2 linked regions of the Coturnix japonica genome follow. The main gene of each other region encodes a partner of the protein of the gene in region 2 in a complex. Links are inferred from orthologs where the notes say so. Each region holds a gene or a part of one and is shown on either strand. Other genes may lie near its edges.

Evidence for each region.
Region 1: the proteins of MUSK (region 2) and DOK7 are in contact, whole or in part, in a crystal structure (PDB 3ML4), measured with the Mus musculus proteins. The link is inferred for Coturnix japonica from reciprocal best matches to the Homo sapiens genes MUSK and DOK7. Residues at the interface, in NP_035074.2 of Mus musculus: Leu547, His548, Pro549, Asn550, Pro551, Met552, Tyr553, Gln554, Arg555; in NP_001335203.1 of Mus musculus: Leu154, Ser155, Asp156, Leu157, Arg158, Arg159, Tyr160, Gly161, Gly172, Thr173, Arg174, Ser193, Asp197, Val200, Arg201.

Annotation. Positions count from the first base shown.
Region 1 is NC_029519.1:74,389,534-74,394,061, forward strand, and holds the start of DOK7 (protein Dok-7), read right to left. Parts: upstream 3,070-4,528; 5' UTR 2,893-3,069; coding exon 2,839-2,892; intron 2,689-2,838; coding exon 2,643-2,688; intron 419-2,642; coding exon 173-418; intron 1-172. UniProt on the Homo sapiens protein: Probable muscle-intrinsic activator of MUSK that plays an essential role in neuromuscular synaptogenesis. Acts in aneural activation of MUSK and subsequent acetylcholine receptor (AchR) clustering in myotubes. Induces autophosphorylation of MUSK.
Region 2 is NC_029547.1:59,223,220-59,227,597, reverse strand, and holds the start of MUSK (muscle, skeletal receptor tyrosine-protein kinase), read right to left. Parts: upstream 3,100-4,378; 5' UTR 2,962-3,099; coding exon 2,883-2,961; intron 1-2,882.

The sequences.
Region 1 (4,528 bases), on a different chromosome or scaffold from region 2:
AGGGACAAATGCTTTAAGGCATAAAGGGAAGAGCAGCCTCTTCACTTATATAAGTGAGCTTCTACCCTAACTATACTCTTTAATCTGCATTTTAGTCATGGCTTTATTTTTTTTCCTGACAAGGAAAAAAAGGAATAGGAAAAAATAGGGAGTATGAGAAGACAAAGGTTACCTTCCCCCAAACTGTAGCGGATTCGTACATCCCACGCATACATTGTTTCCTTGTTCTCAAATCCTAGCATCACAACTTGAGAAAGACAGATGATTGCAAGGGTGTGATTCAAGCCCTCATAGGAGAGCCCAGGATCCAAGCCACAGATGTCTTCTAAGGTCACGCTGCTTCTCTCCTTGTGCCCTTTTGATCGTTCAGATTTATCCTTGTACACCAGCATGAGCAAACAGTCTAAAAGAAGCAAAACTGTCAGAGATGATGAGGCAGAACAGAACACAACACGTTTGTACCAAAGCAAAGTACTAAGAAAAGTGCTTCAGACAACTGCAGATCAGTCTGATCAAGCCAATACTAGATCTCAGCTTCCTTCCCCCACCCTACCCAGACAGGCTGCAGTCCACATTCAGGGAGCAGGCATATTTCAGCAGTCATCTGTGGGCTCAGAAATACAAAGACAAGAAAAAAAGTCTTCCCAATTACTTTGCAAAAACACACTGATTTCTTTTTTGCATTGTCTCCCAAGTTTTGAAGGGATTGACTCGTTAATTTTGAGCGTTAGAAGCTGGAGTATGATTGCTATCCATATTACAAGTGCTAAGAACCGCGAGGCTATTGTCATCTTTATTTCCATGAGAACATACTGAACCACAAACGAAATTCTTACAGTAGTTAACAGATTACTCAACTACTAAATGGTGAGCAGCCTGCCCGCACTGCCAGACATTGTGTCAGCTCAGGTTTCCCAGTGAAATGCTACACAGTAGCCATGCTCAATAATCATTATGTGCCACACCTCTATTTGTTTATGTCTTTTTAAACATGTCACCATTTGTCTTTAACCCCTTCCTGAGCATGTTATAATATAGATAGTATAGTATATAGTAATACTATGACAGTAAACATGCAGTGGAAGAATGTGACTCAAGCATCACGGTGCTCTAAGAAAAGCATGTTTCAGACAAAAACAAAGGGAGCATCATTTTCCCACCTTTTGCATACAACAAAAAGAGCATTCATTTTCACCCAGGTTCCCTTCCTATTGCACATCACTGGGTTATAACCCAAATTAATGGTCACCCAGGTTCCCTTCCTATTGCACATCACTGGGTTATAACCTGAATTAATGGTACACATCCGTAGCTGCCCTGCATGCCACCAGGAGGAAGCTCCTGTGCACCATTACATGAATGTTGGGGTGTGGTGCATCAGACCTGGCAAGGAGCCCTGCAACACTCAGCTGGGAAACAGCCTGGGAAAGCTCCGAAGAGCTGAAAAAACAACTGAAAGACCCAAAGCCTGCTCGCCAATCGTCTACATGCCGTCCCAATTGTTTTCTTGCACCTGTTAGCAAAAACAGCTGCCACTATGATACTTCTGCTGTGCAGTTGTGCATCTGAAGAAAGAACTGCTATGGCATACAGAGCGAGTGAAGCAAATCTTTGGGGGGAGGGGAATTTCTGGTAGATCTTCATACGTTTGGTAGAATGAAAACAGCATTTTTTGAGGAATAACATTATAAGTTTACTTTTGGAACTCCCCTATTTTTCCCTTTTATATTTGGTTAGACATCCAGGCCCATACCTGTATGTCTGGATGGTGACTTGTACTATCTAGAGTTGCCCGTTCGTGGAGAGAAGTTTAACAAATGTAGTAACAAAAATATCAACATTAAACTGTAAAAACCCATACCAAAAAATTGGTCTAAAGACCAAGATATAGCCACTCTACCAGCCAGAAAGGGCTCTGTAATGAATTCAGAGGCAATGTAGATCCACGTTTGGAAAATAGGCAACAACTTACCCCAGGAATAAATACTTTTGAGGCTAAATGGTTTTCCCATTAAAAATAAAAGTTAAAAAAATATATATATATTGGGAAACATGAAGCCTCCTTTTCCTTCTCCAGCATTAAAACATCAACTCTTCATAACATTTTCAGTTCTCCCTTGCAAACGGTGGAACTGAAGTTTTTAATTCAAGATGACATCTTATTTTTAAATTGAAACGCTCCGTGTCAAAACACAGAACAAAAATAACCACAGAGCTCACAATGGCAGCCTTTCACAGCCACCAATCACCCCCCGAAGAAGTAATTTCTAAAAGCAAGCGTTTGAAACGGGAACTAAACTCTCGGCGTTCGTTACGCTTCGGCGGGGTCTCCTTCGATATCCTCTTTCTATTTCTGGCCGCCTGGCTCTCCGCCAGCTGAGCCCAAAAAAGAAAATAAATAGATATTTCTTTCGTTGTTATTATTAATGTTATTTTAAAGGAGGAAAGAGCAACGACGGCTCGTGGAAACCTCCAGCCGAGGGGTCACTGCCTGAAACAGCACACCCGACGGGGTGCCCCGTAAAGAGCTTTTCTCCCTCTCCCTGTGCCCCGCACCCCCGGCAGGCGGAGGAAAGGCCCCGCGGCCGCCGGTCTCTCTCCCCCCTCCGCTCCCAGGCACAGGGTCCCCGCTCCGCTCTTACCTGCCACCGGGGAGGGCTTGCGCAGCACCAGCCACCTATTCTTCCACTGCAAGGAGAGGCAAAAAGACAGGGTTAGCCAGGGCCGGGAGAGGGAAGAGAGGGCTCTATTCCCCTCGTGAGGAGGGGGCGTCGGTCGGAGACCCCCAGCCCGTGCCGGCCGCGTGGCCGAACCGAAAGGGCACAGGGGAACTCGGACCTTTTTTCCTTCTCTCAACTTGACGTGACCCTCCACCACCACGGAATCCGTCATCTTCAGTCATGATTCCGGACAGCTGCGCCCGGCTCGCTGCTCCCTCCCCGCTCTCTGGCCGAGGGGTCACTTTCAAAATAGCTTTAGTAGGTCCCCGTTGAGGCACAGCGAGCTCGGCGGGCGATCGGCCAGCGCTGCCCGGCCCTCCCCGCGCCCCCCGCCCCGCCAGCTCAGAGGCCGGACCGGCTCCGGCTGAGGGGGGGTCCTATAAAGCTCCCCGCCGGTTCTGTGTTAACTTATTTTATTGCTTTGTGGAGTTTGCGCTTGTTTGCGTTTTATCGCTTCTGCAGGGTTTAAGTACATGCACATGAGAACCGGAGCACCCACAGCCTGATGAAGGCTGCTCCCGTCGATCTGCTCCGGCCGAGACCCCTGGAGGTGCCGAGCTTTGCGGGCAGCCCAGCTCCTCCAGCGCCGGGGCCGGAGGGAAAGCCCGGAGCGGAATCATCGCTGCCCTCTGTACGGCGGAGCTGCACCCGGCAGCCAGAATTCATGGAGCCACGCAATGTTCTGACTTAGAAGGGACATAAAACCCACCCGTCCCCAAGCCCTGCCGTGGGCTGGGTGCCCCCCACCAGCTTAGGCTGCCCAGTGCCCATCCAACCCAACCTTGAGCACGTCCAGGGATGGGGAACTCACAGCTCTCCAGGCAGCCTGTGCCAGGCCCCGCTACCCTCTGAGTAAAGAATTCCTTCCTAAATATCCCATCTTTTAGTTTAAAGCCACCCTCCTTTGTCCTCCCACTGTCAGACCATGTAAAAACTCCATTTCCCTTCTGTTTATAAGCTCGCTTCGAGTATTAGAAGATTACAAGGTCTCCCTGGATCGTTCCCTTCTCCATTCCTCTTTCAAAAAGTGTGACTACCCCTTCCCTTGGCTCTCAAAGTCATAGCCCACCTCTAATAAAAACACTTATTTCTTTTCCTTTGCAATGCAACTGCCATGAGATTACAGCCCACTTACCCCAAAACCGGTGCTGCTACAATTTATAGAATAGGATGTGTTAATTATGTCCTTAAATTCATTTCAATGAGAAATGGACTAATTAGAGTCCATTATTCTAAAAATACTCCTCTTGCATCTTATTTGATGGTAATTAGTCCTTCAGTTTTTTGTTGGTTTTTTTTTCCCCAACAGCAGCACAGCACATTTTTCTTTCAATAGCACAATAGAAGGGGTTTTTTTTAGATGTTTGCTTTTATTTCTTCTCTTTGAATTGGACAGTTTGCATGGAATAACCTGTAATTTAATAAAACCACCCTTAAGTGTGTGTCGTAATTAATTGGGAACGTGTTTGTTCAACTGGTTTTGCATTCTAATTCTATTTCAAGTTAAATGTTAGGGAAAAAAACATCAGAGAAACTTTCCTGGTAAATTTTAGCTGTATTTCATTTTAACACAAGCAATGAGCACTTAAATAGAGCTGGGCAGAATAGGGGAAACATTTCCACTGGAAAATGCTCAAGAGAAAAGACAGGAGGTGCTGAAGCACCTATAGGGATGTGAACAGCATTCTCAGTGGTGTGAGAGTTAAGGCATAGATCTCTTTTACTAACCCTGGGCATTTGCTTGCCACCCCAGTCTGGGAATGTGGATTGAATGTAGTGCATTCAACACACAGCGGAGCATCAGATCA
Region 2 (4,378 bases):
AGCTTCATGCCATGCTCCTGAAACACTACCTTGTAAATGTTCAGCAGATGCAGCAGTCTTCCTGTTCCTTTGCTTCCTGCTGCAGTACCTGGCAAACTCTTTTTTCACAGGAAAATCCTTCCCATACTTTATCTGCTAACTCTCCTCAGTACAATGAGATTTAGCTACGTACCAAAAAACACCACCAAATTCTCACCTCCTCACATGAAACTAAAAGGTACTCCAGCAGAAGAAACTGATAATAATAGAAGGCATTTATGCTAATGCTTTTTTAATTTACATAAGGGCAAAAACTAGAATGTCATTAGAGTTCAGTTGGAATGAAAGTAAGGCAAGAAAGAATGGACTTTCAACACTTTTTACAAAGACACCCTGACACCTTATAATGTCTTTAACACAAACTTGCCTCGATATAATTTCTGGATTATATGACTTCATATTCCATAGCTGGTAATTGATGTATTTATATAGAAAGAAAAACTTTAAAATATAGTAAAGGTAGTGCTAAATATTATATTTTTTATATAATAATTATATTATTAAATGCTAATTAAACCACATCTGCATCGGATTTGTTCTTGAGAAGACCAATTCAGAGTGTATCAGGATTCCATTTATAGGGTCACTCCAGGTCCTACTAAATAGAAATAATTATCCACACGGCATCCTCAGATGAATCACATCTCAGTGAAACCAAGTGGAAAATTTTCAGAAAGCCTAAATTTCCCTGCTACTAGCAGCTGACCTAGGAGAATAACTTCCTACTGATGGTTATCCTGTCTGCTTCAAAGGAGACGCCGCTTTTTCGTGACAGAGTTTATGAGGTTTTGATGGAATTAAGACTCACTGAAATAGAGTTTTATTATCCAATTTTATACTGTACATTTTTATTGCTGTTGCCCACATGCCTTTATCTCTGGGATGATGCTTTTTTAATCCTTAGAAATGTAATGTTTGCAGTAAAAACAGTTCAAAGCAGCCAGTTTTGTAATTGCATTGTCACTATGAAAACAGCATCATGATGAATAATAAAGATAGATTTGCTGTATGTACAATGAGGGTACTGTTCTCTCAGCCAAGTAAACCTGTCAGTTTTATGCAATGAATCAATTCATTAGCAACAGATAAGTACTTTCACTGTCTCTCCTCAATTTTACATATGACATCATTACTCTTAGCAGTGTGTCCCCCTGGCATCTCCTGACAGCAAACACACAACTCTTGGAATAGAATCCTACTCCCTCCTCATGGAGAATGCTGTCCAATCCGGCCTTACGTCACCTATGGTCAGAACAGAGAGGGAATTTTTTACACCTATCTTCTTAAGCTCTACAGAGCTACAACAGCACTGCATAATTCTCCTGTTTGCTCTTTTTATTTCCCATTCTAAAATCAAACACAGGGGCAGCAGGGAGGATGAAGGCAGTACTCCTTTCACTGAGGGGACACAGGCCTAGGATGTGGCCTACCTTCAGGATGTAGGAAGTAATGGAGCACGCCGCCATTTTGTCAGTGCTTGGTAAGAGAGCCCCAAATGGTTGAGATGGTGCCTCCTTACAATGGCCATCCAAAAAGCTATGGTATCAGCATCATTCCAAGCTTTCTCAGGAAAGCAGTCAAAACTTATGATGCCATTATTAGCAGATTTTAATGAGGAAAAACAAAACATTACAATATGTATTTATCAGTACAAAGAAATGGTATCATGTGCATGCATTGGGGCTCTCTGAAATTTTTAGGTAACCCTATGGGATTAGGTAACACTGAAAATCAATTAAGCTGCACATCTGCAAAGCTACTCTGGTGCCATTTTTGTGGATGTCAGCTGTAGTTTCCCAAGATAGCAAAATGATCCAATGGCAGTCACGGGGCCCATGGGAAAGCCAAAGCCCATGCTGCACCCACCCACCAGAAGCTACCAGGCCATTTAGGTGTGGGTAATGCATCTACCCACTATGTTTTAAGAGAACATGCCCATCATCTCCTCATTGTACTATGCTAGCAAGCTAAGAGGCAGTTACATTCCTCACTGATCCTCTTGTCCGCCCGATTCCATCCTATCATCACTTTGAAACAGAGTGGGGTTCACCAATTTACTCTACAGCCATCATAAAAAGTTGACATTTTGACTTAAATCACAAAAATCAGGTATTCTTTCCTCATTTTGAGGCCAACCTGAGTTCCATTTCTAAAGTGTGAGAGCAGCAATGCTGGCCTATCCTGACTCCTGGACTCCTCCTTGAAGTTTATAAGTTTATCTTGTTGGGTTTTTTTTTAAATCCCTGAAACTGCATAGCCCTGAATGCCTCCTGATAATCACTGTGGAATAAAGCCCTTTGTCCATAGGTTTACTGGATGGTAAGTCCTGAACACCAGTATTTATGTTGGCATATAGGGGACTATTATGAGCAGGTAATTTTTCAGTTCATGCATTTGCTGAAAGTATGCACACATGCAAGAGAGGAAGTCAAGGCAGCAACTCTCTACTTCATGTAGCAGACATGTTGGACATTTGTAGCCACATACACATGCTACGCAGATCTCAGAGTGCTGTCTTTAAGCCGTGTATCCCCACAGGTGCAACAGTGCTGGCCCTATGCTCGGCAGCAAGCTCTGTGACAGGACATGTCCATCCCACCCAGGCTGAACCCAAAGCCTTCACCTTCCCAATGCAACCGGATTCACTGCTACCCCTCCTCCTAGATACAACCTATTCTCACCATCCCTCACAACAGCAACCAAGCAACTACTCAACAGACAGACTTAAAAGCAGTAGATTTTCATGCAATTGCTAATGGCAGTCTTGCTGTCCTCCCCACTGTTGCTAGAGATGCATTTCCCTTCACAAAACACCCGGTTCAAGCAGAGCCCTTCCAGCAAACCTTTCTGAAGTGTCTCGGCCAGGCTGAGGGCAGCAAGGGTGAGGATGTACCCCAGGGGCACCACCAGCAGATCTCTCATCTCTGGTCCGAAGAGTGCCTGACACCACCGGGCCAGGCCAGCACGGCCCCGGTCCCCACTGCTGCACGTCGAGCTGCCCTGCTAATGACGGAGCAGGCTCTGCAGCTCTAAGTATAATCAGGAATTTCACGTCCCAGCAGCAGTGATGGACGTGGCCAGCTGGTGCGTATCCTCTTTGGGCAGTGTGAAAACGTGGGGCTTGTGAAACAAGAGAAAGCAAATCCCTCCTGAATTCCTTCTAAGCAAACAGTGGGGAGGACAATGGGCGAGTGCGTCGCAGGGCCATACTGGATCCCAGAGCTGGGAAAGCAGCAAAACATTTTGCTCTGTGCTGTGTAAAAGCAGTGGAGGAAAAACTTCTTACCACGGGGCTTCCCTTCAGCTTTGTTCTGCTCTTTTTCATTTTTTCCTCCCCTCCCTCTTGCACGTTCTGCCTCTGTCTTATTACAACTTTCTGTGATTCGCTGCAACATACCACCTGTTCCCTGCTGGTGGCATTACTTTTTTAAACAGATATCTTTGCTGCAGCAGGAGGCTGGCACTGGGGAGCTGAAACTGCTCTGCCAAGGCTGTCATCGATGTTTGGAAACTGCTACAGCACAGAGAAAGCAGAGTCTTTTGCTGAAACAGGCAGAAGAAAGTAGGCATGTTCACAGCAGGAGGGAAGGAGTGCTTCACTTCATCAGCAGCAGCTCCCCAGGGGATTTGGGCACAGATGAAATATACACATTGGGTACTATCATTGTTAATCCCCCAGAAATACCTTAGAATCCCACTGGTTTCTGTTTAAAGCAACAGCCTGGCAGTCAGAGCTTTCTTCAGAGCTCTAGAGGAGCACCGGTCTTGAGGGCAGCTCCTCACTCGGTCTGCCACCTCCTAACCCACCAGCCTGCATCATATGATCTTTCTCAAAAATGTCAAGTCCTTTTTGGTTCATGCTTTTCCTTTGTAAATATTTATACGAACAGCTTTTGCAATCAGTCCTCCCTGTGTGGGGGCAACATCTGTGTGAGGAAAAGGGGAAACGATGAATACTTAGCTTGGGAGAACTGGATTGATGGTGATGCCCTGGGAACATGACTCCAGATACTTTTCATCATGTTATCAGCAGAGCGGATGTGAGTTTGGCTCTGCAAAGTACTAAAAGGCCTTATTTGAGGAAAGGGAATGTGTGGTCATAACATATCACAATAGAAGGTACATGGAGATCTCTGGAATTTCCTTTATTTGCTGAGACTTTCCATCTCAGCAACCTATTAGAAGTGATTTCTGCAAAGAATGTGCACATCCAAGTGGTGGTCCCTCTGAGCAGCCAGTGGAGCAAGGCTGGACATGGCTAGGGCTGTGACTTTCACAGAGGTTCAGCACAACATGATAATGGCAATGTGAGTTTGGGCTGACTGGGAGTAAAGGCCCT